Diceros bicornis minor: one gene and its partners. The protein of the gene in region 1 interacts with the protein of each later gene in a pairwise test. Links are inferred from orthologs where the notes say so. Each region holds a gene or a part of one and is shown on either strand. Other genes may lie near its edges.

Evidence for each region.
Region 2: the proteins of PPP1R18 (region 1) and FSD2 interact in binary tests that used the Homo sapiens proteins (3 or more experiments, as listed by UniProt). The two-hybrid records come from large-scale screens. The link is inferred for Diceros bicornis minor from reciprocal best matches to the Homo sapiens genes PPP1R18 and FSD2.
Region 3: the proteins of PPP1R18 (region 1) and TEX11 interact in binary tests that used the Homo sapiens proteins (3 or more experiments, as listed by UniProt). The two-hybrid records come from large-scale screens. The link is inferred for Diceros bicornis minor from reciprocal best matches to the Homo sapiens genes PPP1R18 and TEX11.
Region 4: the proteins of PPP1R18 (region 1) and STX11 interact in binary tests that used the Homo sapiens proteins (3 or more experiments, as listed by UniProt). The two-hybrid records come from large-scale screens. The link is inferred for Diceros bicornis minor from reciprocal best matches to the Homo sapiens genes PPP1R18 and STX11.

The regions. Positions count from the first base shown.
Region 1 is NC_080753.1:34,421,984-34,428,847, reverse strand, and holds the start of PPP1R18 (phostensin), read right to left. Parts: upstream 3,012-6,864; 5' UTR 2,728-3,011; intron 2,278-2,727; exon of another isoform or gene 1,647-2,277; 5' UTR 1,619-1,646; coding exon 8-1,618; intron 1-7. Other genes in the region: NRM (nurim), read right to left, coding at 4,293-4,574, 4,930-5,106, 5,724-5,920, 6,496-6,628.
Region 2 is NC_080744.1:95,273,951-95,281,886, reverse strand, and holds the start of FSD2 (fibronectin type III and SPRY domain-containing protein 2), read left to right. Parts: upstream 1-4,915; coding exon 4,916-5,560; intron 5,561-5,708; coding exon 5,709-5,804; intron 5,805-7,510; coding exon 7,511-7,741; intron 7,742-7,936.
Region 3 is NC_080781.1:64,217,796-64,225,408, reverse strand, and holds the start of TEX11 (testis-expressed protein 11), read left to right. Parts: upstream 1-4,595; 5' UTR 4,596-4,644; exon of another isoform or gene 4,645-4,660; intron 4,661-4,682; exon of another isoform or gene 4,683-4,804; intron 4,805-5,146; exon of another isoform or gene 5,147-5,357; 5' UTR 5,358-5,378; coding exon 5,379-5,415; intron 5,416-7,613. UniProt on the Homo sapiens protein: Regulator of crossing-over during meiosis. Involved in initiation and/or maintenance of chromosome synapsis and formation of crossovers.
Region 4 is NC_080778.1:23,344,910-23,351,869, forward strand, and holds the start of STX11 (syntaxin-11), read left to right. Parts: upstream 1-3,960; 5' UTR 3,961-4,053; exon of another isoform or gene 4,054-4,131; intron 4,132-4,295; 5' UTR 4,296-4,435; coding exon 4,436-4,484; intron 4,485-6,960. UniProt on the Homo sapiens protein: SNARE that acts to regulate protein transport between late endosomes and the trans-Golgi network.

The DNA of each region.
Region 1 (6,864 bases):
TCCCTACCTGTTTGTGGTGCCTTTCAGGGGACCCCTTGACAAGGCAGCTGCGGCTGAGGCGGAGGTAGCCCCCCAGAACCAAGATCTCCTCGGCAGTCGGGTACCGCTTCTTCCCAGCCCCGGGGACTGCAGCATCAGCTGTGGCAGGGGTGGCTGGTGTGGCGGGGGCTGCAGGGGGCATGGACCGCCGGGGGTTGACTGTGAAGGTGTGTCCACTGCGGCGGGGGGCCCCCACCCCTGGCCCTGCCTTCACTCCATAGAACAAACGGCTCATGAGGGGATCCCCAGGGGGCTGGGGGGCAGGTGGGGCTGGGGGTGGGGGAGACAGAGGGGCTGCTGGTGGGGGCCGGAGTTCCAGTGCTTCCTCTTCCTGAAGTTGAGAGCCTCCAGTCCCGGCCTCCTCCGGTGGGAGGGGGGAGGGTGCAGAGTAGCGGTTCTGCAGGGCGCTCAGAGGCCTGCCCTGAGCCCCCGCCTCCTCCTTCTCAGCCTCCCCATCTCCAGCCTCTGCACCAAGAGGCCCCAGATGCTTCTCAGCAGACTCTGGAGGTTCTGGTTTCTGAGTTTGAGTCTCTGTTTCCCTGGGTGTCCATTCTCGAACCTTCCCAGAGTTCAGGGTCCATTTCCACCCTTCTGTCAGCCTCAAGCCCTTCTCACCATCCTCCACAGGGCTGGGCCTCTGCTCTGCTGCCTCCACTCCTCCAGAGCTGCTGTCTGGAGCCTCTCGTGTCAGAGTCTCTGAGAGCCCTGTAATCTCTTCTGGGGCCATCCTTGGAACTGGCCTGTCTTCTTTTCTCCCACATTCCTCCAAGCAGTCTTTTCTTTCTTCTCCTGTGCTCAGCCTCCACTCTGAAGCCTCCAGTTGTACCAAATTCTGTTCCTGAGACTCTCTAGAGTCAGATCTCCATTTATGGGCCTCTGTCAGGCCCAACTTTTGGTTATCAGACTCTGCTGGGCTCAGTCTACTTTCCACCATCTCTTTTCTCCTGGGGCTTTGTTCTTCAGGCTCTGCCAGTCTCAGACTCCGCTCTGGAGTTTCTCCAGGGCTCAGCCTCCATTTCCGGGCCTCTGACAGTCTGGAGCTCCTGTCTCCAGCCTCTCCTGGGCTCTGCCTCCAGTCCCGTGCCTCAGAAGGCCTGGGACTCGATTCTCGGGCTCCCCCTATCCCCAGCCTCCTCTCTCTGGCCTCCCTGGGACTGAGCCGCTCTTCTCTTGACTCTCTTCCCATGGGGCTCTGATCCCGCATCTCCCCAGGGCTGGGTCTCCGCTCCCGGGTCTCCAAAGGCCCAGGCCTTCTCTCTGCAAGTAGCTCTTCACTCCGCTGCTGCTGCTGCTGGCGCTCCTGCCGAATGAATCTGTTTTGGTGCACTGGTCCGATGGCCTCCAGGAGGACGGCAGACTCATCTGGGTCCGGAGGTCCAGCCTCTGTAGTCCCAGGCGTAGGGCTAGGCTCCCCAGGAGACAGACCAAGCTTGGCCCGGCGGCGCTCCAGGAGCCCCCGCTTCCAGGCTGGCATCTGGGACAGCCGCTCCCGCTCCGCCTTCTCCCGGCCACGAACAGCAGCCTCCTCCTGCCGGCGCCGGGCTAGCAGCTGTAGCTTCCAGTCCGGAATGGTGGCCATGGTCGCCTTGAGGTGAGGATGAGGAGCACTGGGGGCAGAGAACAGGAAGGAGAGGCTCCAGAGAGGCCCAGGGGGTGAGACTGGGGGTGGGGGGAGAGGAAATGGAGGGGGAGAGGTGGTACACAGAGAAGGGCAGAGGAGCTGAGGGTGAGGACAGTGGGAAAGAGGGAGAAGAGGAGGGCAGAGAAAGGGGAAAACCAAGAAAGTGCAGAAAAAGCTGTGAGCCAAGGTGGTGGTGGTGGGGGGTGTGGTGAGAGGAAGAGTAGAGATGCAAGGCAGAGGCACCAGTCAGATTTGGCAGTAAGGGGTTAAGGGGTATCAGAGACAGTCTCAAGGATGTGGGAAGAGAGAAGGACGAAAAGAGAAGCTGGCATGAGGCAGAAGAGAGAAAAGAGAGGCTGGGGGTGAGGGGGGACAGGGTTCAGGCGAGGTTGCCTCACCGCCACCCCAGGGGCGGTGAGGGTGGGCAGGGAGGTCAGGGAATGCTGCCGGAGAGGGGGCAACGGGACCTCAGGCAGTGTTGGGGAGGTCAGGAGGGGCAGAGTGGAGAGGTCTAGGGGAGAAGGGGGAGTCAGGGGGCAGAGGGGAGAGGGAGCTCCGCGGCTGCGGGCTGGCGCGTCTCGGCGCGGGCCCCAGAGGTCCGGCTCCCCTTCCAGCCCGGCTGGGGCCACGCCTCTCCGGCCCCAGCCCCCACCCCTCCGCCCGGCACTCCGCCCCAAGGCGGGTCAGGGGAAATACCCTCCCCCGGGGACTTTCAGAACTCGGGTGTCTGGGCTGCCAGGACGTTCCCAGAACCCTGGCGTCCACCGTCCCCTGCCCCCAGGACCGTCACCACCGCCTGTCTCCCCCACCGGCTGTGTCCCGGGACCCAGGCGCGGGGAGGACCGGCTCCACGCCTCTTCTCTCCCGAGCCTGCGAGTCCTGTGCCGGGGTCCCGGCTCTCATGGCACCCTGACATAGCCGGCCATCCCCACCCGGCTCTGATCGCACAGACAGACAATCTCGGCACAAAGAGGAGACAGCCCAAGGTGTCCGGGCCAGGGACGGGAGCGGGGACAGGAGGGAGGAGACACCCCCTCCCCAAGTCTGAAGCCCCTCAGTCAACTCACATGCCGCGGGACTCCCAGGGGAGGGGGTGCGGAGGAGCCTGGCGTCCGGAGAGAGGAGGAGAGAGGAAGAGGAGGAGAGAGGGCTCGAGGGAGATCCGGAGACAGGAGGGAAGGGAGGAGGGAGGGAGGGGAGGAGGGAAAGAGGGAGCCGAGGAGGAGGGACGGAGACAGAGACCTGGGGGCCGGGCAGGGGGCGGCGACCGCTTTGTCTGAGGACAATGGGGAGAGGGAAGGGGGCGCGGGGCGGAGCCCGAGGAGGGGGCGGGGCCTCGCTCCCTCCGACCCCGCGTGGGACTCCGCCCCCGGACTCCCCGCTTCGCGCCACAACCCCTGGCCCCCAGTGCTCTGTCCCTAGGGCCTCTCACCCCGCTCTCACCCGGTAGCCCTGAAGAACCCAGGTGTCCAGACCCCCGCCCCCACCTCGCCGACCCAGGGCGGCGGCCCGTGACTCAGGCCCCTCGAGAGACTTAGGGAGGAAGCAGCAGCTGCTCCGAGCCGGGCCCGCCCTTCCCATCTCCCGCTGCTCCTCCCCACGCTTTTGCCTTCTCCGGCCCGCCTTTGTTACTGCGGGGTCCAGGGTCTCCGCCAGGCGGCGGGGGGCCCGTGGGGAGGCGGTGGCAGGCGGGGCGCTTGCAAGCCGGGCGCTTTGGAAGCTCGCTCCCCTACCAGAGCCGCTGCCCTACTCTTTTTAGCTTCAACCTGTCTCCCATGGATCCCCTGGTCTACAGCAGAGAAATTGGGAGATTTGGAGGAAGGGGGACTGGGCCGCTCCGGGAAGGTAGGGGTCGGTCCAAGGCGAGTGGTCGCCACCCAGCGGTCGCCAGAGGGCGCGGTGGCTGCCCAGTCGAGTTCGGCGCGCCCAGGCTCTGGCTCGCCTTCCTTCCCAAACTCAGCCCTGAAGCTTGAGAGACACTGACAGACTGCATGCCATGTGGAGAAAAACCAGGCTCAATTTTATTTTCCTGAAGCGCGTGTTCCTCTGGAGAACAGGGAGCCCTTAGTCACCCGAATTAAGAGGGGGAGCATCCTCAACTAGGTTGAGGACGGAGCCCAGAGGCGGGGCCTAAGGAGGTGGAGAAGCCACCCAGTGGGGCCGCCCTGAGATGCAAGGCATGGAGCCTGAAGGGGCGGACACCACCATCAAACTTGCAGACCCGGGTCGAGCTCCTAGGGAAGCAAGACGTGGATAAGGGGATCCCTGAGGCGCAGAGGCAGTAATAGTGCCAGGGGACTGGTCAGGCCAGACCCTTCTCCTTGTGAGGAGGTTGTTAAGGGGGGGCGGGAGGCAGGGGGGTGGTTTAAGACCTAAACTGTGAGGAGACAGGTAAGTTTCCTAACCCTTCTTCCTGGCTGGTGAGAAATGGACCTTGGAGTCCAGTGGCGGAAACTCAGAATTTAGGGTATGGAGCGGGACTCAGGGAGTGGAGTCTTAACCAGAGGAAGGGACAGCCCCTTTCAGTTCATAGATTTGGGCCTCTGGTCTGAAGCAGCCAGGGCCTGGATGTTAAGGGATTTGGAATTCCACAGGGAGAGGAAATACAGGGCTTGGAACCAGGGTTAGCTCCTCATTCGGCCTCCGCATCCTGGGGCCGGGAGAGCAAGCGGAGTTTTCTTTGCAGCTGGGCCCGGAGGTAGTGGAGGTCTTGCTGGTCAAGTCCGTGAGCCAAGCCCAGGTAGACGGTAAGGAGGAGAGCAAGGAGGAGGCGGTCAGTGCCCAGGGTGGGGACCACCCACAGAACTGTCAGCAGCTCCACGCACACTGGGTGACGCAGGTGGGAGAAGAGTCTCAGAGCCCGGGGAGACTTCAGGGCCAGAGGCTCGCCCAGCCCCAGCACATGGTAGTACACCTACGAGAGGGGGAACAGCTTAGAAATGGAGTCAAGCCCTTTTTGCAACTTAGCCGCCTCTTTCCTCCCCTTCCAGGCACCCTCCTATAAGTCAGGCCCAGGAACCACCCTTCTGAGACTTGGGCCCCTGACCCTCATCTCTGGTTCATGAACCTTCCCCAAGCCTGGGAGGCCCATAGCTTCTGGCCTTTGAGGGAGGGCTGAGGGGTGACTGTCTTATAAGAAAGAGAAGTGAGGAAGTTGAAAGCAAGAGGAAGGTGGAAGAGCATGGGAGGAGGAGGAAGGAAATCATTGGAAGGGAAAGAGGTGTTCTAGAAACGATCAGAGGTCTCAGGTAGGGATCTGGGAGCCTCACCTGTTTGAGGCCCATGAGCTCAGCGTAGTCAAAGACGAGAAGGATGCTGAAGATGAGGAGCCAGGAGATGACGTGGAGCACAAAGCAGAGGAGGGGCACCCAGGTGGCCCATGGCTCAGCCCGAGCCTCCCACAACACGGGGCCTCTGGGTACAGGTTCCCAGTACCGCATCACCAGCTGGGGAAGGATGAGGGACTGGGTATCCCAGCAGCTCACCCTCGAGAGACCTAGACCCAGATGCTGCCTGCCACCCCCACCCCAGGGTGGCCTGCAGCTCTCCCCACCTCTACCATGAGCCTCACCAACAAACATCCACCATGTGGAGGGTGCTGGGTGGGGTTCTAAGGAGGTAAGGATGACCTGTCTCTACTCAGATGATTTACAGAACAGATGGGGGTGACCAGATAGGTACACAAAGTAGCCTATGCCAAGCACCCAATGAGAAAACAGGTACTAAGTGGGAAGCCTTCTCTTGAGACCTAGGGAAGTGGTTTTGAAGAAAGGGCAGGACCAAAGAGGAGTTAACAAGGGGATCTCAAGCAGGACAACATGAACAAAGTTGCAAAGGTGAGAATGCACATATTGTGCTTGGGGAATGACAAGCAGTACACCCTTCTTGATAAAAAGTAGAATGTGTGCTGTGGAGGAATGGAAGCTGAGATTAGTGTCCTAACACCCTCAGTTCTCCTAAACCCACATTTTATCAGAAGCCTAAGATCCTTGCCCCTCCAACCTAGGGCATCCTTCCCACATACTCTGTTTCCCTTGGGGACTCAGCTGCCAGAGCCTCATACCTGCAAGGCCAGGGCAGTGCATGCCACATACAGTGACCTCTGAAGGACCCCAAAGTACCGGGACATCCACGCCTTCACTGTCTCAGTTGCCATGAGGCTGTGCTGCCCCACAAATAGTAGCAGGAGCCCCAGATCCCAAGCCAGGGAGGCAAGGATGCTGTGGTCCTGCAGGGCAGCCAGCCATCCTTGGCGGGCATCTAGGGGGAGTTGGAGAAAGGGACAAAAGATCAGGAAGACGGTGGGAAACACTTCCTACCCTCATCTCTTGGGGCCTCAGGCCATGTCCCTTAATGCTTTCAAGAGCCTTAATGCTTCCTCTCCAGGCTTTCCCCACCTCGCTTTTCCATTCCCTGTTTCTTCCCTCTTCTTCAGGTCTCCTTCAGAGCTGGGGAAGAGGATTCATGTTGGGTAGTCACAAAGGCATGGCTGGAAAGGCTACCATTGGATTGCCCCTCTTATTTCGGTTCTCCAAATGCTCCCTGTTTTTAACATTCTCCTCTCCATAGTCCTCTCTACAAAGCACTTTCCTTAGAATACTCTGCTTATCGCCCTTTCCCTCCCCCTGAGTCTTCACTCTCCCGCCTCTCCAAACCGCTAATCCCTGAGCTCCTAATTTAGCCCTCTGGTCTCCCCGGCCGCTTCTCGGTGGCTTTCACGGTTCTAGTTCCCTCTCCGGACTTCCCCTGTCATTTGTCTCCAAGCCCCGCCCCGCTCACTCGTCTCCGGCCCCACCTCCCTACCCTAGAGCTCATTCTCGACCCCTCCCGCTCACCCGGACCACCAGACTCCGGGATCCCTCCAAGAAGTGGCCGAAGGGAGGTGAAGCGCACGAACTCCACTCCAGTGCCAAAGGCCAGGATGAAAGAGGCGAGGGCAGCAGGGACCAGAAGCAGTGCAGGGGCCATGGCGAGAAACCGAGGGGTGGGGCAAGGGGCGGGCTCGGGATTCCCGCTGCCGCAGGCCCCGCCCCCGGCCCCGCCTCCCGCCTGGGATCCTGCCCAGGAGGGCGGGGCTCTTGCGGGCCGACGCCCCGGTTTCCGGCCGCCGCGCGCGGTTTCTCCCACCAGGCCGCAGGGCCTATACCCCTACTCAGGAAGGCTCAGGCCTTCCTGAGCCTGCAGTTCTCGCGTCACAGAGGGGG
Region 2 (7,936 bases), on another chromosome or scaffold:
TATGCAATGCACATGGATTGGAAGAATCGACATAGTTAAAATATCCATACTACCTAAAGCAATCTACAGATTCAATACAATCCCAATCAGAATCCCAATGACATTCTTCGTGGAAATAGAACAAAGAATCCTAAAATTTGTATGGAACAACAGAAGACCACGAATAGTGAAAGCAATTCTGAGAAAAAAGAACAAAGCTGGAGGCATCACAATCCCTGACTTCAAAATATACTACAAAGCTATAGTAATCAAAACAGCATGGTACTGGCACAAAAACAGACACACAGATCAATGGAACAGAATTGAAAGCCCAGAAATAAAACAACACATCTATGGGCAGCTAATTCTCAACAAAGGAGCCAAGAACATACAATGCAGAAAGGAAAGTCTCTTCAATAAATGGTGTTGGGAGAACTGGACAGCCACATGCCAAAGAATGAAAGTAGACCATTATCTTACACCATATACAAAAATTAACTCAAAATGGATTAAAGACTTGAAGGTAAGACCTGAAACCATAAAATTCCTAGAAGAAAACGTAGGCAGTACACTCTTTGACATCAGTCTTAGCAGCATCTTTTTTGTTTTTTTTTGCTGAGGAGGATTCGCCCTGAGCTAACATCTGTGCCAATCTCCCTCTATTTTGTATGTGGGTCACTGCCACAGCATGTCTGCCAATGAGTGGTGTAGTCTGCACCCAGGAACCGAACCTGAGCCACCCAATGGGAGCACACTGAACTTAACCACTAGGCCATGGGGCCAACCTCTTAGCAGAATCTTTTCAAATACCATGTCTACTCAGGCATGGGGAACAAAAGAAAAAATGAACAAATGGGACTACACCAGATTAAAGAGCTTCTGCAAGGGCCAGCCCCGTGGCTTAGCGGTTAAATGCACGCGCTCCGCTACTGGTGGCCCAGGTTCAGATCCCAGGCGTGCACCGATGCACCGCTTCTCCAGCCATGCGGAGGCCACGTCCCACATACAGCAACTAGAAGGATGTGCAGCTATGACATACAACTATCTACTGGGGCTTTGGGGAAAAAAAGGAGGAGGATTGGCAATAGATGTTAGCTCAGAGCTGGTCTTGCTCAGCAAAAAGAGGAGGATTAGCATGGATGTTAGCTCAGGACTGATCTTCCTCACAAAAAAAAAAAAGAGCTTCTGCAAGACAAAGGAAACCAGGAACAAAACAAAAAGACAACCCACCAACTGGGAGAAAATATTTGCAAATCATATATCCAACAAGGTGGTAATCTCCAAAATATATAAAGAACTCGTATAACTCAACAACAAAAAAACAATCAACCCAATCAAAAAATGGGCAGAGGATATAAACAGACATTTTTCCAAAGAAGGTACAGATGGCCAACAGGCACATGAAAAGATGTTCTACATGACTAATCATTAGGGAAATGCAAATCAAAACTACAATGAGATATCACCTCACATCTGTCAGAATGGCTATAATTAACAAGACGAGAAATAATAAGTGTTGGAGAGGAGGTGGAGAAAAGGGAACCCTCATACACTGCTGGTGGCAATGCAAACTGGTGCAGCCACTATGAAAAACAGTATGGAGATTCCTCGAAAAATTAAAAATAGAAATACCATACGATCCAGCTATCCTACTACTAGGTATTTATCCAAAGAACATGAAATCAACAATACAAAGAGATCTATGCACCCCTATATTCATTGCAGCATTATTCACAATAGCCAAGATGTGGAAGCAACCCAAGTGCCTATCAACTAACGAATGGATAAAGAAGATGTGGTGTATACATACAATGGAATAGTACTCAGCCATAGAAAAGAAAAAATCATCCCATTTGCAACATCATGGATGGAGCTTGAGGGTATTACGTTAAGTGAAATAAGCCAGACAGAGAAAGACAAACACCACATGATTTCACTCATATGTGGAAGATAAACACATGCACAAAGAGAACAGATTAGTGGTTACCAGAGGGAAAGGGGTTTGAGGGTGGGTGAAAGGGGTAGAGGGGCACATATATATGGTGATGGATAAAAATTGACTCTTGGTGGTGAGCATGATGCAGTCTATACAGAAACTGATAAATAATAATGTACACCTGAAATTTCGCAATGTTATAAACAGTTATGACCTCAATAAAATAGTAATAATAATAAAACATATATCCACACAAAAACTTGTACACAAATGTTTTAGTAGCATTATTTATAATAGCCAAAACATGAAAACAACTCAGATGAAATGGGAAACAATGCAAATCAGCTGATGAATAGATAAACAAAATATGACTTATCCATACAATAAAATATTATCCAACTCTAAAAAGGAATGAAGTACTGACAGACTACAACAGGGATGAAACTTGAAACCGTTATGCTAAGAAAGAAGCCAGTCACAAAAGACCACATGTTATATAATTTCATTTATATGAAATGTCCAAACAAGAAAACCAATAGAGACAGAAAGTAGATTAGTGGTTGCTCAGTGCTGGTGTAAATGAAGGACTGCAGGCAGTGATAGCTAAAGAGCTCAGGCTTTCTTTTTGAGATGATGTAAATGTTCTAAAATTGACTATGGTGATTGTTGCATATATACGCAAATATACCAAAACCATTGAATTACACACTTTAAACAGGTGAATTGTACGGTGTGTGAATTATGTGTCAGTAAAAATATTACAAAAGTAGTTAGTATAACACATGGCAGTTCTGAGCTAAGAAGAAAGCAGGGGCTTTGAAGTCCAACAGTTTGTGTTAATCTAAGTCCTCCAAAAAGCAGGTACCAGATGGGATTAAATTTGCAAGAATTTTATTAGGGGAAACACCTGTGTGAGTTAAAATAGGGAGACAGATAGGAAAGGCTGAGAGAGCTGTCTTGTCATGATGCAAGTCTCACACCAAGTGAAGGAGGAGAGGAGGGAAGGTTTGGAAGAAGCATCCTAGACTGCCATGCCCCTTAAGAAAGGTTTGGCAAAGCTGCCAGGGTTTGGCAAGGCTCCAGCCAAAATTCGCCATCAGAGTAGTTTTGTGTCAACCAGAAATGGATCTGCCTTAGTATCTTTGCTACACTTTGTCATCCGATGGGAGATGTCCATGGGAAGCATGTCCTCCATGCAAATATATCGATGGATTTCAGACTGCAGCTGAAACCTCTGGTCAGTCACGCTCCCTGTAGTTGGATATCTACCACCACATCCTCATGGCCATCACGCACACTAAGGTTCAAATCCCAGTTCAATGACTTACTAACTATGTGACCTTGCACAAGCTCCTCTCTCTGAGTCATAATTTCCTTCTCTGTAAGAGGGGGATAACAGTAGTGCCTACCGCATAGGGTTGATATGAGGATAAGACAATGTGTATAAACTGCCTAGCACACAGTAAGCACTCAACAAGTAGTAGCTACTACTAGCATTGTATTTACTACTACGACTATTTCTTCCTAGATTTTACGAACTTCCATTAAAAACAGTGGTTATCATTGTCTATATATAATGAGTATTCTGTTTACTTAACATCATATTGTAAATCTTTTTCCACGTTATCATTTGCTCTCACTAAATATTTTAAAGGCTGCATTATATGCTATAGAGTGTACATATCCTAGTTTACTTAACCATTCTCCTAATCATTAGGCCTTTTCAAAAATTTTTTTGCTATTTTAAAAAATTTAGTGGTGGACATTTTTATATAGAAAAAATTTTCCCCTGTGTTTGAGATACTTCCTCAGGGAAAACTAGATTAAAGAGTGTGAATATTTTTTGTTGTTGTTGTTGGCATATTACTCCTTTACTAGAAATTGTAAAAATATGGAACGCTTCACAAATTTGTGTGTCATCCTTGCACAGGGGCCATGCTAATCTTCTCTGTATGGTTCCAATTTTAGTATATGTTTAGTATATGGAACTCTGTATAGTTCCATATTTCAGTATCTCATGCCGAAGCGAGCATGCGAGTGTGAACATTTTTTTGCTAGGAAAGATTGGCCCTGAGCTAGCATCTGTTGCCAGTCTTCCTCTTTTTTTTTCTCCTCCCCAAAGCCCCAGTATGTAGTTGTAAGTCACTGTAGTTCTTCCGTGTGAGCTGCCACCACAGCATGGCTACTGACAGAGGAGTGGTGTGATTCCATGTCTGGGAGCCAAACCCAGGCCACTGAAGCAGAGCTCACTGAAGTTTAACCACTAGGTCATCAGGACTGGCCAAGAGTGTCAACACTTTTAATGCTCCTGATCCATGTTGCCAAATTTTCTCTCCAGAGAGGTGGGGCCAGTTTACATTCCAACCAGCAGCATATGAGAGTACTCACTGCTCCCTTACCCTGCCTTGGGTATCATTTTTATATTTTTAAATATTTGCTAACTGGAAAGTCAAAATGACATCTAATTTATTTGTTCTCTGTTACTCACAAGGATGGACCATTCTCTAAATGTTTTTGTACAGGTAATATTATATACAAAAGTAATTATTTTGTGACTTGTCCTTGCATGGTAAACTATTAAGATCTTAATTTTTTTAATTAATTCATACAATTTGCTTAATAATAATTGCCTGACACTTCCCATTATTTTCCCTTTCGAGGTTTTTTTTTTAATGTATAGGAGTCTATTGTTAGTCAAATCTATTTATGTTTCTTTTGTCATTTCTTCTGTCTCTTTTAAGCTTAGAAAGCCCATCCTCCTATAGAAAGCAAACTTTTCTTTACAGATAGTTCAAAGTGAAACCACAGCCCAGCTGCTCAGATAGTTTAAAAAAATTGTGAATGAGCGGAGCCCAATCTAATGACTCCCTCCTACAAGGCCATCTCAGAAACGAAGTTTTCTTCCTCTTTTTGTGTTCCAGCACCCAGAATATCCGCTATTAACCGTCCAGGAAGGATCCTTCTTGTGCAAAGGTGCTGCCCAGGTCCTCCAGAGCTACAATGGAGGAGGAAGCTGGGGGGGCGCCGGCAATGCACAGGTCTACTGCCTCCAAGAACTTTCACTTTTATCACATGGATCTGTATGACTTTGAAGACAGACTGCATATCTTCCCAGAAGAAACCACTCGGATGAGAAGAGAAGTAGTCCAAGCTGAAATGACCAGTGAGCCAAGAGGGGCAGCGAAAGGTAAGCCTCAAAAAGAACTTGAAGAGGAAGTGGATGAACTTGTCCATTTATATGGACTTGAAGATGATCACGAATTAGGGGATGAGTTTGTTGATGAAAACATGCCCAGAATAGAGGTTTCAGAATATCCTCCTTATGGGATGATGAGGAGAGAACCAGCCGGGGAGCAGAGAGACTGGAGACTTAGTGGAGAGGCAGCTGAGGCAGAGGACCCAGGCTTCGGAAGGTGGGGCTCGGCAGGCCAGTGCCAGGACTTGCGGGAAGCCTATAGGTACACACGTGGCCGTGCCAGTGAGGAGTATGAATGCTACGTCATCCCAGAGGAGGAGGATGAGGAAGAAGCTGCTGACGTCTTCTGCATCACTTGCAAAACTCCAGTAAGAGCTTTGGAGAAGGTTTTTGATGAACACAAAGAGCATGAGGTGACCCCACTCAATAAAGCACTGGAAATCGCCAAGGTAAATAGGTCTCCTTGGTTCTTCTTTCTCTGGATATTGCATTTATATCTCAAATGTGCAGGCAGGGAATAAATCTAAAATGCCTTCTACAAAAGAGAGAGAGAAAAGATGTACCATTAACATCTTCTTGTGATCCTCTGTTGGATAGGATGAAATTCACAAAAATATGTACAAATTGGAAAAGCAGATTATCGAGATGGAAAATTTTGCAAGTCACTTAGAGGAGGTTTTCATCACTGTGGAGGTAAGAGCACACTTGATGAGCCCACCAGACACACGTGGCTTCCATTAGTGGCTGGGTCAGCAGCTGTGTCTGATATGATTTGGAGAACCTGCTTTCTTAGAATGGGTGGCGTCACTACTGCCCCTCTCCCCTCACTCCTTCCCCTGCCCTCCCATGGCACCTTGGGTATATGCCTCAGGGCACCCACCACCTGTCAGCAATCCCTACTCAACTAGAAGCTCTCCGTGGGAGACTGTGTCTTCTGTGTCTATATATCCCCAGTCCTACTACAAGGTAGGACTCTTTCACGCGCCAGCCTTGACAAGGCATTGCAAAACACCTATTCTGTCATTAATAAGTGTGCTTTTCCTCAGCTGTTATCTATTTCTCACAAGATTAGTAAGTTTCTGTGCCTGCCACCAAACATGTCACAGTCCCCTGGGTGGACCTAATAGGTATGTAGTATACCGCTGTGATGCCAGCACTCAACCTGACCCTCCAGATGAGGTATACCGAGACTGAGGACCAGGGGACCGTCTGTCTCCTCTCTCTTCATGTGGATGCTCTAATCCTATTCATGCAGCCTCAGACTGTATCAACAGGAGCACTCCATATGAATTAACTAAGCCCCAGGCCCCTTTCCCGTGAAGCCTCCAATCTGAAAAGGGAGGAGAGCTATTGCACTAATCCCCTATGGAAGGCAGAGAAGGGACAAGCCCTTCCCCTTCCAAGCTTAGGGTAGTGCTAGGAGGGGTCAGTGTGCAACAGCCAGGACAAAACTCCCTACACTCTGTACTGCCAGCTCACTCTCAGATCAAAGTGTCTTCACCTCAGTGAGGACTCTGAGATCTTCCTTTTACACTTAACTCAGGGAAGTTGTCTACCGTCTTTCCCTCTCTTCCACCATTCTAAGCAAATCTTACGCACATAGTAGGCGCTCAGTAAATACTCCCTGAGTGATTGATAAGAGCCCCTTCTTTGGAAAGTCCCTGTTATGGGTGAGGATGACATCAGTCAGAACCCGCAGAGCTCGCCTGGGCTTCCAATCTAAGGAACAGGGACCAGGAATCCATATGCTCTGACTAATATTTCTCATCCATTGTGCTCCAGGATTATGTACGGTCTCAACCCTCCCTCTGTCTTCCTGACTTTTCTCATCTATTAGGCAGCACCATCTGGCCACAACCCTTATTCCCCTTCCCCTTCATCTTTCTCTTAGTTGATATGAGAAAGCAGTTGATATCTCTCAGCAGATATGAGGATCTGCGTGATCCTGGTGTTTGTATAATCCAAGCATTGAGGGGTGGAGGTGAGTGTCATGAGATGTTGAGAGCTCAGGAGGGAAAGATAAGTGGGAATCGCCCAGAGCAAACATCTTCATATTAAGGTCCAAGGTTCCAGTGACAGGCTGACTCATTCATCACTGATAATCTCCCTGGTTGGTTGTCATGGTGATGAAAGGTGGCTAAAAATGGAGTGAGGAGGACGATTGCAAAATGCTGCCAGGAGAGAAAGCAGTGCTTTTTGTTAAGATTATCCCTGAGGTTCTAGCTGGAGACTCCTGGGTCCTAGCTCCCCCAGTGTCCATCACAGCATCCTGGCAAGAGATAAGACTACGTGGAGGGACTAAAATAGCTACAATATAGATACATTTTCATGCCCCAAATGACTCTGTTGTTGACACACCAGATGCACTGAAATGATGACTGAGGGGAACTGTCTTGCAGGAGAATTTTGGAAGACAAGAACAAAACTTTGAGTCACATTACAATGAGATCTTGGAAACACTTGCTCAAAAATATGAAGAAAAAATACAAGCTCTAGGGGAGAAAAAGAAAGAGAAGCTGGAAGCCTTGTATGGACAACTGGTCATCTGTGGAGAAAACCTTGATACCTGTAAAGAACTGATGGAAACAGTAGAGGAGATGTGTCATGAAGAGAAGGTTGATTTCATCAAGGTCAGTAATGAAGTGAAATGAAATATTGAACTGAAATGACAGTTATAGCTGGAGTAGCTTAGGTTGTTCCTTCTTCACCTGGAGGTATTGGAATTGCCTTTTATGGTCAGAAGCCATTTGGTTCGACTCGATATTCACGATGGTGAGGTTGTCACCTCCTCTTTCTGCACAGCTTTGCCATGAGTGGCCAAGCAG
Region 3 (7,613 bases), on another chromosome or scaffold:
GCAAACCCAGGGCCGCCGAAGCAGAGCGCACGAACTTAACTGCTACGCCATCGGGCCAGCCCTTAAATACACTTATTTTTAAAAGAAAATATTTCACCACTATCATAATAGAAAACAAAGTATTTTCCTAATACACATTAAAATAAATATCCAACTATTAAAAAATGTTTGGCTGTGCACCACCTAAAATAATCATATATACCACACTTTGAAAACACTTAGGTAGTCAACACAGTGAATATAGGACACTATGCTTGAAGATGAAGTAGAAAATTGCTTTAGGCATGGTCTAATCTTAATCTCCTCAAGAAGTCAGAGATAAAATTGGCCCGAATAAGTACAAAGATACAAAGTAGAAAATAATAAGTGTCCTAAGAGAGGTATGCATGAAGTACCATGAGAATTCCCGTGCGGGAGTTCTGGCAGGGAGTTCTGGGAAGTCTTGGATGTTGAGGCTTTTAAGCTGGTGCTTAAAGGCTAAGTAAAATGTGTAATTTCACAAACGGGAGGAGAGCATTACAGGAGGAGGGAACATTATGTACAAAGGCAAGAAGACGGAAAAGTTTATAATTCAGTTTGCCCAGAGCCTAGGATTTTGAAGGGGTGAAGTGGAAAAATAAGGCAGGAAAAGTAAATTCCAGTCAGACTCTTGAAAGCCATTAGTTCTAAGGGCTACAACTGAAGGAGAAGTGTGTGGGTAAGAGTGTTAGAGTATGTGAAGGAGAGAGTGGTTCTGATTTGGTTCAATGAATTACACCTCAGCTACCCAGTCACATGGTTATACCCTAGATCTTGCCAGAATCTACACCTCTGAAATCACTAATTCAAGCATCAAGTTCTCTACGCACAACTTCCTGAGCTTCCCCAGCTCACTTGCTCAAGTAACCCCACTGCAACAATTCTTTGACTTCATGAATCCTCCAATTCACTTTCCCCCTCCTACATATGCTTTCTCTCTTTTTATCAGTTTCCTCCAATCTTTGCTTGCTCCCTTTCCCACTTAAATTCCTGAATTTATTATCATTATCACTCTTGCAAATATCTTCACCTCCCTAGGCAATACTCCAGAGTATTCCCGCCACAAAGCAGAGAATCCAAGTATCTTCTCCATACTTGCACCTGTGTAGTTCAGGATTGTTGGAGGCAATCACACCACTGGGCAGGTTAATGATCATCAACCCTCAACACTGCTGGAAATCCTCATTTCTCTCTGATTCCCCTGCTCTCTGAAACAACTGTTTCTTACCTTATTCACATTCTTCAAATCTCTCCCTCCTACTCCCTGCTATTGACTTTGCCTCATACTTTATTGAGAAAACACATGCCCATCAGATAAAAACGCCCTCATCTTCTTGTGGATTTTTTAATGAAAATAGCTTTTTTTCTCCTAATAAAAATATGTGTTCATTGTAGGAAACTGAAAAATATAAAGAGGAAAGTAAAGATTTTCCCAAATCCTACCACTTAAAGATAAACATTGTAAATATTTTGGTAAATATTCTTCCAGACTTTTTTTTCAAATATGCATACAATTTTACATAAATGTATACCTTCTGTATAAACTTTTTTTTTTACGATTACGTATTAGTGGGATTAGTTGGCTCCTGTAGCCACTTATGTCGCTCCCTATTCACACCCAGGTGGAAACAATCCCAAGAGTTTTTTAGTCACTCAAATCTATATAATTATACCTTTTTGAGTAGTTGCTAACTTTTTTCTTGTTTACACTTAATGGTAGGATATAGGCATTTCCCTAGCTTTATACCTTTAGATTGTTTTCTCAGCAACGTTTTTAAAGGCTGTATAAGTATTCCACTATCTGGTACTAATGTACCCTAAGTTGTATAACTAGGCCACATTTAACTAGGTGAACATTTAAGGGGTTTACAATGCTTCAGCGAATGTTTCTGTTAATCTGTCTTCGCAAATTTTTCCAATTTCTTCTTTAGGAAAATTCCTAGAAGAGGAATTGTCTGGTAACAGGGTACACACATTTAAGATTTTGATACATATTGCCAAATTGCCATGCAGAAAAGTTGCAATAATTTCTTGTAAAAAAAGTTGCAATAAAATCTTGTAAAACATCATTAGTTTTCCTTTTTGATTCTGGTTTTCAGATAGTGTTTATATTTTGCCTTTGTGTTTATAAAATATTCACTCATATTTTCTTTTAGAAATTTTATGATTCAGTTTAATCTTTGGTTAATCTAGAATTTATTTTGGTATGTGAAGTGAGGCAGGGATCTAGTTTTATTTTTTAAAATGACTATCCAGTTGTTTCAATACTTTTTCGTGAGTAACTCTTTTCCCCAGTGATTTGAATCATTGCTCTATATATTTGGGTCTGTTTCTGGACTCTCTTTTGTTCCATTTATCTGTCTGTACAATTACCACACAATTTTATTTACGGTAGTTTTAATGTCTGGTATAACAAGCCCCTGTCCCTTACTCTATTATTGCTTTTGTTTTTATAATTTTCCTGACTATAATTGCATATTTATGCTGAAAGTGTTTTTGTTCTTTTAACAAGATATAATGCTACCTTATTAAGTAATTTGCATTCTTCGTTGCTTACTCTCTTTTAATCCACTCTATTAATGAGAATCTTAATTAGCTCTCATTAGATTCCAAGCTGTTCACCAGCCTTATGTACTATTTCACCATTTTTGCTTCAATTTTTCAAAAGGTAGGAGCAGGAAATTTATAGTTTATGCTAGGGTAAGGGAAGATAATCTACGGCATTTTGAATGCCTCTTAATGGCATTTTACTACTCACTCTTGCATATCCTCCTCAATATGCACCTGCTTCTTTTATTATCTCCTTTCCTCTTCTCTCTCTCTCTTTTACTTTTTTTCTGTCCTTTTAATTCTCTCTTTCTTATAGCATCTAGGGAGGCCATCTAGATCAAAAACAAAAATATTGGAGATACTCATACAACATAAGGGTTTCCACCCTTTCTGCATATTTTCCTTTATTCACTGGCCCTTTCAATGCAGTGGTGCCTGCTCAGTAGCTCTGACTTTGGAGTCATATTTACAGTCAGTATTAATCAATAGAGTCATTTGATTCTGTATGCCTTATATAATCCTGGATAATATAATATCCATTCTACTACAGACATTATTAATCACTAAGAGCTCTAAGATGTGTGTGAAGAGACCACTGCAGGCTTGAGAGCTGAGGTCTAATTATCGCCCTATTTGTTCATCTGTTCATCCATGAACAAAGAAGTTATGGTAGAGCCAGGGGCCTGGGTGGGATGATGAAAGTTGGGAGCCCTTAGTTTGCCAACCAGGAAATGGGGAACGATAATGGGAACTAACATTTGTTAAGTATGTACTATATGCCAGCCACTGTTCTAGATGATTTATGTACACTATTCTATTGAACCAGAAGCCTAGAACTACTTTTATTCCCATTCTGCAGAAGAGGAAATTGAGGTCCTGAGATTCTAAGTAGCTAGCACCAGGTCACAAAGTATGCGGTGCATGAGGATTCAGTCAGCTATGGGACACTCTACTGCCCTTTTCCACCAGACTTCTTCCTCTAATTTAGCAATCTAGGATTGTGAAATGAATACCAAATTGCAAGATGCAAAAGAAGAGAAGTTAATAGCAGTACTTTCTCTGTTTTCCCTTTTTTCTTCACTCTATGTGATCTAGATGCAGAAAATTTTGAAGAAGGAAAGAAATTATTTTTAGAAACTCCATCTTTTCCATGATAAATAATCACTGATTTTGAGTCTTAGGGTCAGAAGGGAACTCTGTTAATGTTCCCAGAATTGAAGCCACAATCTCTCTTCTTCATCCTGTTAGCCAGTTCCCTAGCTGACTTGACTGAGGTGCATAAGGCTTAAAAGAGGGGTATGTGAGGGAAGAAGTGGGAGGCTTGTTAATGTTTTTTGTTTTTGGTGCTTCTCCATATTTGGAGGCATCATGCCATAACACTGTTGTCTCTGAGTGGAGCTTTAAAGTAGAGGCCAACTCCTTGATTGCAAGCATCACCTATAGATTCAGCTGGAATCAAACATGTTTACTTACATATTCCATCCCCATCCCTAAAACCATTTGTTTGGAGATGGGTGGGACCCCTGCCCTTGCTGTGAGCCTGTAGAGGAGTCATTAGTTAGTTTCCTTCGGATTTGACAAGGACAGGGCAGCAGAAACATGTCTTGGAACTACAGGGTTTTTCAGTTTCCTCAACTTCTGATATTGCTGACCTTCGCCACTCACGATTAATCAGTGGGCAACATTGTTCCTTCCTTCCTCCCTCCCTCCCCTCTCCTCTTTCCTCTCCCTCGTCCCTACGTCCCTTTTCTTTCTTTTGAAGGCCTGCTCTCCTCTTTCCCATAACCCTGGCCATCTGCACTCTTCCCTCAATAATTGTAGTATGCTTCCAGTACTGCACCATACTTCCTTACGCTCAGTGATTCTCACCCCTGCCCTCTGAACTAATCCCCAGGATTGAAGGCCTAGACTGCGCCCCAAGGCTTAGGCTCGCGATGTGAGATAGACAGTAAAGGCCAATAGGAAGTGGTCTTTGATTGACGTCACTGTAGGGGGAGGAGCTTTCCAAGCGTCGTCGGGCACTGTGGACGGAGTTTGTGGAGACAGCACTGTGGCACGTTGGCGGTCCCGGCTGAGGTGACTGATTTAGTAGGTAGGAAGGGCTAGAGGAGGGTCAGGTACGGGTCAGTTGAGTGGTTTATAACTAGCAAGAAGATGCGGCCATTAGGTCAACACTTTTTAGAGTGGCCCTGAGGCAATGATTTTGAACCACAGAGCTGCTGTAGCTGACTCTCAGGTGAAAGAAGATGGGCAGAGGCAGGATTTTTTGACTTGGATGAAGTATGGGGCGCATTGTGGGGTCATTGAAAGCGGGAGACAGTAGTTATTGTAGTTTGGATGTGAAGGACCTACATTCCGTTGAAGCCGTATGGTTGGTGACTGTTGGGGGCGGGGAGCTGAAGGCGCGCTAGCTGGGTCTGTGAGAGCGGGAAAAAGGCCAGTGAGTGATTGGGTGCTTTGAATGTATGGGCGGTGGAGAGAGGGATTTTGAACCAATTAGGAGGAGGCAACGAGTACCAGCCAGACAAATCACAGGGTACCCTGGTTTCCTGGTTGCCAGGCGGATTATGGTAAGAAAAGATTTGGGATGAAAATTTCCTCCGAGCCAGATTCCTGTGACATGACTCCTGGCCCCACCCCTCGTTAACTACTTTTTCTGAGTTTTAAAATTTCTTCAGCATTTTTTTTCCTTTGGGTAACAGGTAACTGGAAAAATTTCACTGAAAAGAAATTTATTGAGGAACTGGAGGATAAAGGACAGAAGATTAAAATTTTTTTTTATTTCATAGGCTTGAGCCAGAGATTTAAAAATGGACGATGTTGATTTTCGTTTCATGGACTTTAAAGGTATATAGCTTTACATGGTAGTAAAGAAAATGTCAAACTGTTTGCTGCCTTATCTAAAATCTTCTAAATGTATTTTGTTTCTGAATTTTATCTCTTTGGAGTATCCATAGCTCCAAGTTTTCTTATTTGTGTACCAGAAAAACAATGTAGATGTTTAAGACACTGGAACCCTTTTATATGCTAGTGTAGGGAAACTGAATTCACAATTCATAGCTTGTTTTCTCAGGATTTTTATTGCATGCAAATTAACATTGGTTTAATCTGAAATAGAAATCTACTGCGTTAAATGTACATTAAAAAAATTACTGCAAGATCCTGGAGTGCCTTTCCAAAATCATCAGTGAAAAATAAATTATATCCTGTATAGTTTTAGGTTTAACTGCATTTTATTGTATCTTAATTCTTTTGAAAATTGGTAATCTCTGTATGGTATTTATGGTAATTGTTAATAAAAGCAATTTGACTAGAACAAGAGATTCCTCAACCGTGCCAGATATGGGAATGTTTACACTATTTCTTTTTTTCTGGGTACATGATTAGACCTGTGATACATTCACATTCATATATTCACATTCATATATATTTCACGTTATTCATATAATAATGACATATGTGTAGCCAGGGTGGCTACAAATCCATGATTTAAAAATGTTTAGGTCAATATTTTGTTAATTCTTGTCATTTTAGCACAACAGCAACAAAGCCCACTACCTCTTACCTTATGTTTTAATTTAGGATATGGTATCTTAAAGATATAAACATGGAATAAGGATTATGACTTTTAAGTATATTGTATTTGAGCCCTTGTATTTATATAATATTTGAAGCACACAGAAAAGTATAGAAAATAATATAATGAACACCTGTATACCTACCAGTAAGTTTTGTTGAATCTTAACAGTTTGTCATATGCTTCAGGTATTTCATTGTTTCAAAGAACTAGAAGATTAGATGCACCGGTTAGTCATCTTTGAAAATTTTACATAAATTGTATCATTTTGTATGATTTTTTTCTGTAACTTGCCTTTTTTTGCTCAGCATTATGTTTTGGATATTTACCCATATGGATATTTTAGCTCTAGTTCATTTATTTGCCCTGCTGATTAGAACTATTACGTTGAATAGAAGTACAATTTATTTATCCAATCTCCTTTGTTGTTGTTTCAAATATGTTGTTTTAACATATGAGTTGTTTTAAATATTTGCTGTTACATAACAACAACACTACAATGAACATTGTGTTTCCAAGAGCTTAGCAGGAGCTTTCAAGCATTTCTGACTACCACTCATGGCAAGGAAATATATTTTACATCACATCCCAGTACATACACACCATAGCAAAAGTTTGAAACAGTCTTACCCTTATTACACGCAGTGCACTATGATGTTTTCTATTCTATGCTTTTTAATTAAAAAATGCTGGTTATGACCAACTAAATTGATTTATTTCTTGAGCACTAGTGGGTGAGGATCTAGGGCAGTACTGTCCCATTGAACCATAGTGCAAACACAAATAATTTTATATTTTCGAGTAACCACATTAACAAAAGCTTAAACAGATGAAATTAATTTTAACATTACAAATTATTTAGCTTAGTATATCCAAAATGTTATCATTTCAACATGTAATCAATACAAAAATTATTAATGACATATTTTACATTCTTTTTTTTCTTACAAAGTGTTTGAAGTCCAGTATGTATTTTATTTATACTTAAAGCATATCTCATTTTGGACTTGCCACATTTCAGGTGCTCAGTAGTCACATGTGGCTAGTGGCTACCCTCTAGTGGCAGTGCTGTTCCAGGGTATATACATTTAGGAGTGGAACTGATGGGTCAAAAGCTATGAGCATCTTTAACTTTATAAGTATTGTCCAATTGCTGTCCAAAGTAGTTTAACAATTAATATTCCCTCTCTCTTTCTCTTTTCCCTATATCCTTGCTAATATTTGGTATTATCAGACAAAAAATTTTGTAGATGTGAAGGGTATTGTTGTTTTTAATTAACGTTTTATTTTGGAATAATTTTAGATTTACAGAAAAGTTGCAAAGATATTGCAGAGAGTACCCATATACCCCTCAGCCAGTTTCATTTACCCTAATGTTATCATCTTACATAGGTGTTGTTTTAATTTGCATTTCCCTGATAACTAGTAAAGTTGAGTGTATTTTCATAGATTTATTGGCCATTTGAGT
Region 4 (6,960 bases), on another chromosome or scaffold:
GTTCCTGGGTGCAGACCTACACCACTCGTCCGTATTGGCCATGCTGTGGCAGTGGCTCACATACAAAAAGAGGAAAATTGGCAGCAGATGCTAGCTCAGAGTGAATCTGCCTCAGCAAAAAAAAAAAAAAGAAATAAAAAAGGAGATGTTACAACTGATACCACAAAAATACAAAAGATTATAAGAGACAATTATATACCAACAAATTAGACAACCTAGAAGAAATGGATAAATTGCTAGAAACATACAACCTACCAAGACTGAATCATGAAGAAATAGAACATCTGAATAGATCAATTACTTCTAAGGAGATTGATTCAGTAATAAAAAACCTTCCGGCAGACAAGAGTCCAAGACCACGTTGCTTCACTGGTGAATATTACCAAACATTTAAAGAATAATTAATACCTATCCTTCCCAAACTCTTCCAAAAAATAGAAGAGAACACTTCCAAACTTGTTTTACAAGGCCAGCATTACCCTGATATGAAAACCAGACAAAGACTCTACAAGAAGAGAAAATTACAGGCCAATACCCCTGATGAACACAGATGCAAAAATCCTTAACAAAATATTAGCAAACCAAATTCAACAATACATTAAAAGGATCACACACCATGATCAAGTGAGATTTATTCCAGGGAAGCAAGGATGGTTCAACATCCCCAAATCGATCAATGTAATACACCACATTAACAAAACAAAGGATGAAAATCATGACCATCTCGATGCAGAAAAAGCATTTGACAAAATGCAACATTCATTCATAATAAAAACTCTCAACAATGTGAGTACAGAGGGAATGTACCTCAATATAATAAAGACCATATAGGACAAGCCCACAGTTAACATCATATTCAATGGTGAAAAGCTGAAAGCGTTTCCTCTAAGATCAAGAACACGGCAAGGATGCCCATTCTCTTCACTTTTATTCAACATCGTACTGGAAGTCGTAGCCAGAGCAATTAGGCAAGAAAATAAATAAAAGTCATACAAATTGAAAAGGTAGAAGCAAAAGTGTCACTATTTGCAGATGATATGATATTATATGTAGAAAACCCTAACGAATCCACTAAAACACTGTTGAAACTAATAAGTGAATTCAGTAAAATTGCAGGATACAAAATATGCATGCAAAAATCAGTTGCATTTCTATACACTAATAACAAACTATTAGAAAGAGAAATTAAGACAACAACCCCATTTACAATTGCATCAAAAAAAATATATCTAGGAATAAATTTAGCCAAGGAGGTGAAAGATCTGTTCACTAAAAACTATAAGACATTGGTGAAAGAAATTGAACAAAACACAACTAAATGGAAAGATATTTCATGTTCATAGATTGAAAAGAATTGATATTGTGAAAAGGTCCATACTACACAAAGCAGTCTACAGATTCAATGCAATCCCTATCAAAATTCCAACACCATTTTTCACAGAAATAGGCCACATAATTCTAAAATTTGTATGGAACCACAAAAGACCCCAAATAGCAGAAGCAATCTTGAGAAAGAACAAAGGTAAAAGCATCACATTTCCTGATTTTAAACTCTATTACAAAATTATAGTAATGAAAACATATGGCATTGGCATAAAAGCAGACACACAGATCAAGGGAACAGAATAGAGATCCCTGAAATAAACTCACACATATATGATTAACTAATTTATGACAAAGGAGTTAAGACTATACAATGGGGAAAGAACAGTCTCTTCAATAAATGGTGTTGGGAAAACTGGACAGCCACATGCAAAAGAATGAGATTGGACCCCTATCTTACACCATGCCCAAAAATCAGTACAAAATGGAGTAAAGACTTAAACGTAAGACCTGAAACCAGAAAACTCCTAGAAGAAAACATAGAGGGTAAGCTCCTTGACATCAGTCTTGGCAATGATTTTTTGGATTTGACACCAAAAGCAAAGTCAACAAGGAACAGCCTCAGTGGCCTAGTGGCTAAGTTCAGCTCACTCTGCTTCAGTGGCCCAGGTTCGGTTCCTGGGTGCGGACCTACACCACTTTTCTGTAGTGGCCATGCTGTGACAGTGGCTCACATACAAAAAGAGGAAGATTGGCAGTGGATGTTAGCTCAGGCCGAATCTTCCTCAGCAAAAAAAAAAAAAAAAAGCAAAGTCGACAAAAGCAAAAATAAACAAGAGGGACTACACCAAATAAAAAACTTTTGCACAGCAAAGGAAACCATCAACCAAATGAAAAGGCAACCTATGGAATGGGAAAAATATTTGCCAATCATTTATCTGAGAAGGGGCTAATATCCAAAATATATAAAGGACTCATACAACTCAATAGCAGAAAAACCAATCTGATTAAAAAATGGGCAGAGGAACTGAATAGATATTTCTCAGAAGAAGACATGTAGATGATCAACAGGTACATGAAAAGTACCTGTGCTCAACATCACTAATCATTAGGAAAATGCAAGCCAAAACCATAATGATATATCGCTTCACACCTGTTAGAATGGCTATCATCAAAAAGACAAGGGCTAATAAGTTTTGGCCATAGATGTGGAGAAAAGAACCCTTGGGCACCGGTGGTGGGATTGTAAATTGGTGCAGCCACCATGGGAAACAATATGGAGGTTCCTCAAAAAATTAAAAATAGAACTACCATATGATCCAGCAATCCCACTTCTGGGTATATATCCAAAGGAAATGAAAACAGGACTTCGAAGAGACATCCACACTCTCATGTTTATTGCAGCATTATTCACAATAGCCAAGATATGGAAACACCCTAAATGTCCATCATCAAATGAATGAATAAAGAAGATATAGTATATATATGTACAATGGAATATTACTCAGCCATGAGAAAGAAGGAAATCCTGTCATTTATAGCAACATGGATAGAACTTGAGGGTATTATGTTAAGTGAAATAAGCCAGATAGAGAAAGACAAATACTGCATGGTATCACTTATATATGGAATCTAAAAAAAAAAAGGAGTCAAACTCATACAAAGAGAATTGAAAAGGGATTGCCAGGGGCTGGGGGGTGGGGGGAATAGGGAAGGTAGGTAAAAGAGTACTAACATTCAGCTATAAGATGAATTGGATGAGGATCCAGTGTAGACGTGGTAACTATGGTTGATAACACTGTATTATACAACTGAAATTTGCTAAGAGAGTAAAACTTAAATGTTCTCTTCAAAAAAAAAAAGATAAATATGGGAGGTGATGGATATGTTAACTAACTAGATGGTGGGAATTTTTTCACAATGCATACATATATCAAATCACCACAATGCACACTTTAAATATCTTACAATTATATTTGTCAATTATACCTCAATAAAGCTGAAAAAAATTCATGGATTGATGATTCAAGATGCATGTACTTTAAAAGGAAAAATCATAGCAACGATGATGAAGATCATTCAAATGAGTGTCTATTGTCTTCAAAATAAAGGGAATTGTATAGATGACAAGTGAAATACAAAATACCCCAATGCACATTTTAATTTTAGAACAAACAATTTTGGTTTCACTTCATCAAAACGATATTAAATCAATGCTGTTTATTTTAATATTATTAATTTTATAGTTTTTATGTGTAGATTGGTTTGGAGCCATAAGGAATTTATACCATGTTTATGTAACTAATATTGTATTTATATTATATTCAGCTAACAGAGTAGAAATAACCTGTTAACACCAGGTGCCGTATCTTCTTTTTCCTTGAAGAAGGGTCCACTCATTACTTAAGTTGGAAGGTGGTGTACTAGGACCATGAAAGAAATAAGGCGTGAATAGATTATGTCCCTCACTCACATTTGCACTGTAATCAATCATGAATTCCGATTTGGATGAGGGCATTTGTTTTGTAAATGTTTCTTTGTGACTGGGGATGTAGAGCTGTGGCAAAAGTTCCTGTTTCATAATTCACCTTTGCCCATCACCAACTTGTAGAAAAGAGGCTTTAAAGAAATCAGCTGGAGTGACCTGCTTTCAACACCCAGAGCCAGTGATGCAACGCCGTGTCAACTCCTGTGAAAGATTCCTCCTCATACTCGGGGCACAGAAGTAAGGTAAGGAGCTGTGGACTGACAGGAACATCTGTCAGCTTCTCCAAGGTGTCCTCAACAAGATCATCATCCCAAAGGCAGGTATGCTCAAGGAAAGACTGTCTGTTGAATCCGTGAGGTCACTTCTCAGATGTCGATCTGTTTTCACTGTATCACTTTAGTGAGTTCATCTTAAAAACATATTCATCATTTGAAACACGTTTGGTTTTTGTGGTGCCAATATTGTACTATTATATTTCCTTTAGGATCACGGAAGGATGCTGGCTGTGGTCCATGAACTCACAGGAATTATGAGCCATCTTTGAGGAGGGAATCTGTCCGTCTGAAGAGAGACCCAAAGGGAAATCAGACAAGTAAAGACGTGCAGCTGCAGCAAGGGGACAAAATGGATGAAGAGGAGGAAAAAGAGACGAAAACCATGTCTCAGCCCCAAAGTAAGGCTTTTTGGTATAGAAATACCTAGTTTATAAACCGGTAGCACAAATTCATCTACATGAACAAAATATTAATGTAAAAAAGTTTAGTCTATCTAGTGAAAATTACACTTGTTGAGAACTAATTTAGTTGTTCAAATTCAAAATCAATAATTAAAGGCTTATGACTAAACTATTGTCTGGAAAAGGCACTGCTTATTTGTTACATTCTGTTTATGCTTTTCTGTTTCACTATTAACAGTTCCGCAGGACAGCGTGATGGTGTAAAAAGGGGTTTACCAGAAGTGACTGTTGAGTAACAGTCTCATCTAAAAATACTTTTGCAACCTGTTATGCAAAATCACAGCTACAGAAAAATTATTAGGAACTGTTAAGCGGATCAGTTATACTATCTCTAGACCCAATTTTTCAGCCTGTTCTTTTTCAGGGAGAATGTTCAATTTGTATGCTTAGAGCAGCTAGTACATGCTCAACTTCAGGCCTCTTACAGCAAGTATGCCAATATATTAGAGGAAAGTTTTCACTTAACTGCAATTTGGGTTAGAATAAAAATACAACAGTGTCATTTCAGGAATTGCAGGCAGGGATAAAATGTAACTAACACCAAAATAGTGCAATTTCCACCACTTGTTTCCTACCCTTCCTTGTGTACCATCCACAGAAAAGTAAGCTTACTAAACAACAAGAAATTTGGTTTTCTATGAGAGTTATCTATTGCATTCTTTTCTTTCTTTTTTTTTCTTAGTAATTTTTCCAGGCTTACTTAGATTTTGACATTGCTCTTTGAGTGCAGGTAACAGGATAAAAGAAATCATTTGCTTTGGAAAGGTCTTATTTTTTGCTTCTTCTGTGGTCTTCGATGTTGTTCCCGGATTCTTTATTGATGGCTAAGAGTGCAGACTTCCATGTCAGACGCTGGGATTTGAACCTAGAGTCCTTTGCTTGCTGATGCAGGGACATTGGACGTTTACAGCTCATTTCCTCCTCTGCCAAATGGGGTTGAGTTGTGCACACTTCAAAAATTTGCGTTGAGAATTAAATTATATGAAAACATTAACACCATGCTTGGCACATTGTAACTGAACAATAAGTATTTGTTATCTTTAATACAGGTATTAGCATTATGGAGTTTGTACTTTTTTAATGATTTATGTTTGCTAATAATTGTACAATTAAATCTTGTGTTTCAAGGGTGGCTTAGTTTATCTGGGTTACATGTTATAACAAAAATACTCTAGACTGTGTGGCCTATAAACAACAGAAATTTATTTCTCTCAGTTCTGGAGGCTGGGAAATCTAAGATCAAGGTGCTGACAGAGTCAGTGTCTGATGAGAGCACGCTTCCTGGTTCATAGATGGCTATCTTCTTGCTGTGTCCTCACACAGAGGAAGGGGCAAGGGTGCTCTCTGGGGCCTCTTTTACAAGGGCACTAATCCCACTCATGAGCACTCCATCCTCATGACCTAATCACCTCCCAAGTCCCCACCTTCTAATATCATCACACTGGGGATTAGGTTTTAACATAAGAATTTTGGGGACACAAACATTCAGTGTACAGGAACGAGTTAGAAACTGTGTTCTCTGGTAAGCTGTGTACGTTGAGTAACGATGGCTTGTTTGCAGTACTGAAGTACAGATTTCCTCATACACCTGGAAGTAATTTTAAGTTATTAGCTATTGAAATATTTAAAACCATAAAAATTAACCTATTTACTTTAAAGTCTTATTTATATATTTCTGTAAATTACATTTTATGTAGAGAAGCTATATGCAAAAAGATTTACCTGTGAATTTGAGAATATTTTTCTAGTCTAAGTGTACTGAAGAAAAATTTATATAATATGATGTACAACATGGTTTCTTCATAAAGGTAACCAGTGGATTGAAATAAAGAGATGAGGGCTGGCCCCGTGGCTTAGCGGTTAAGTGTACGTGCTCCGCTCCTTGGTGGCCCAGGTTCAGATCCCGGGCGTGCACCGATGCGGCCATGCTGAGGCCGTGTCCCACATACAGCAACTAGAAGGATGTGCAACTATGACATACAACTATCTACTGGGGCTTTAGGGGGAAAAATAAATAAATAAAGTTTAAAAAAAAAAAAGAAGAAATAAAGAGATGACAGTAACATCAGGGAACTTTTTTTAGGAAGATTGGCCCTGTGCTAACATCTATTGCCAATCTTCCTCTTTTTCTTTTTTCTCTCCAAAGCCCCAGTACGTAGTTGTGTGTCATAGTTGTAGAGTTGTAGCTCTTCTACGTGGGACGCCTCCTCAGCACGGCTTGATGAGCGGTAAGTATGTCTGTGCCCAGGATCGGAACCCACGAAAGCTGGGCTACTGAAGTGGGCCGTGCGAACTTAACGGCTATGCCACCGGGCTGACCCCCAGGGAATATTTTTGTAAGGACTGTAGGTATAAAATTTTCAGAACAAGGATTTGGACGCTGTGCTCTAGCTACTAATTAAGAATGCTTGAT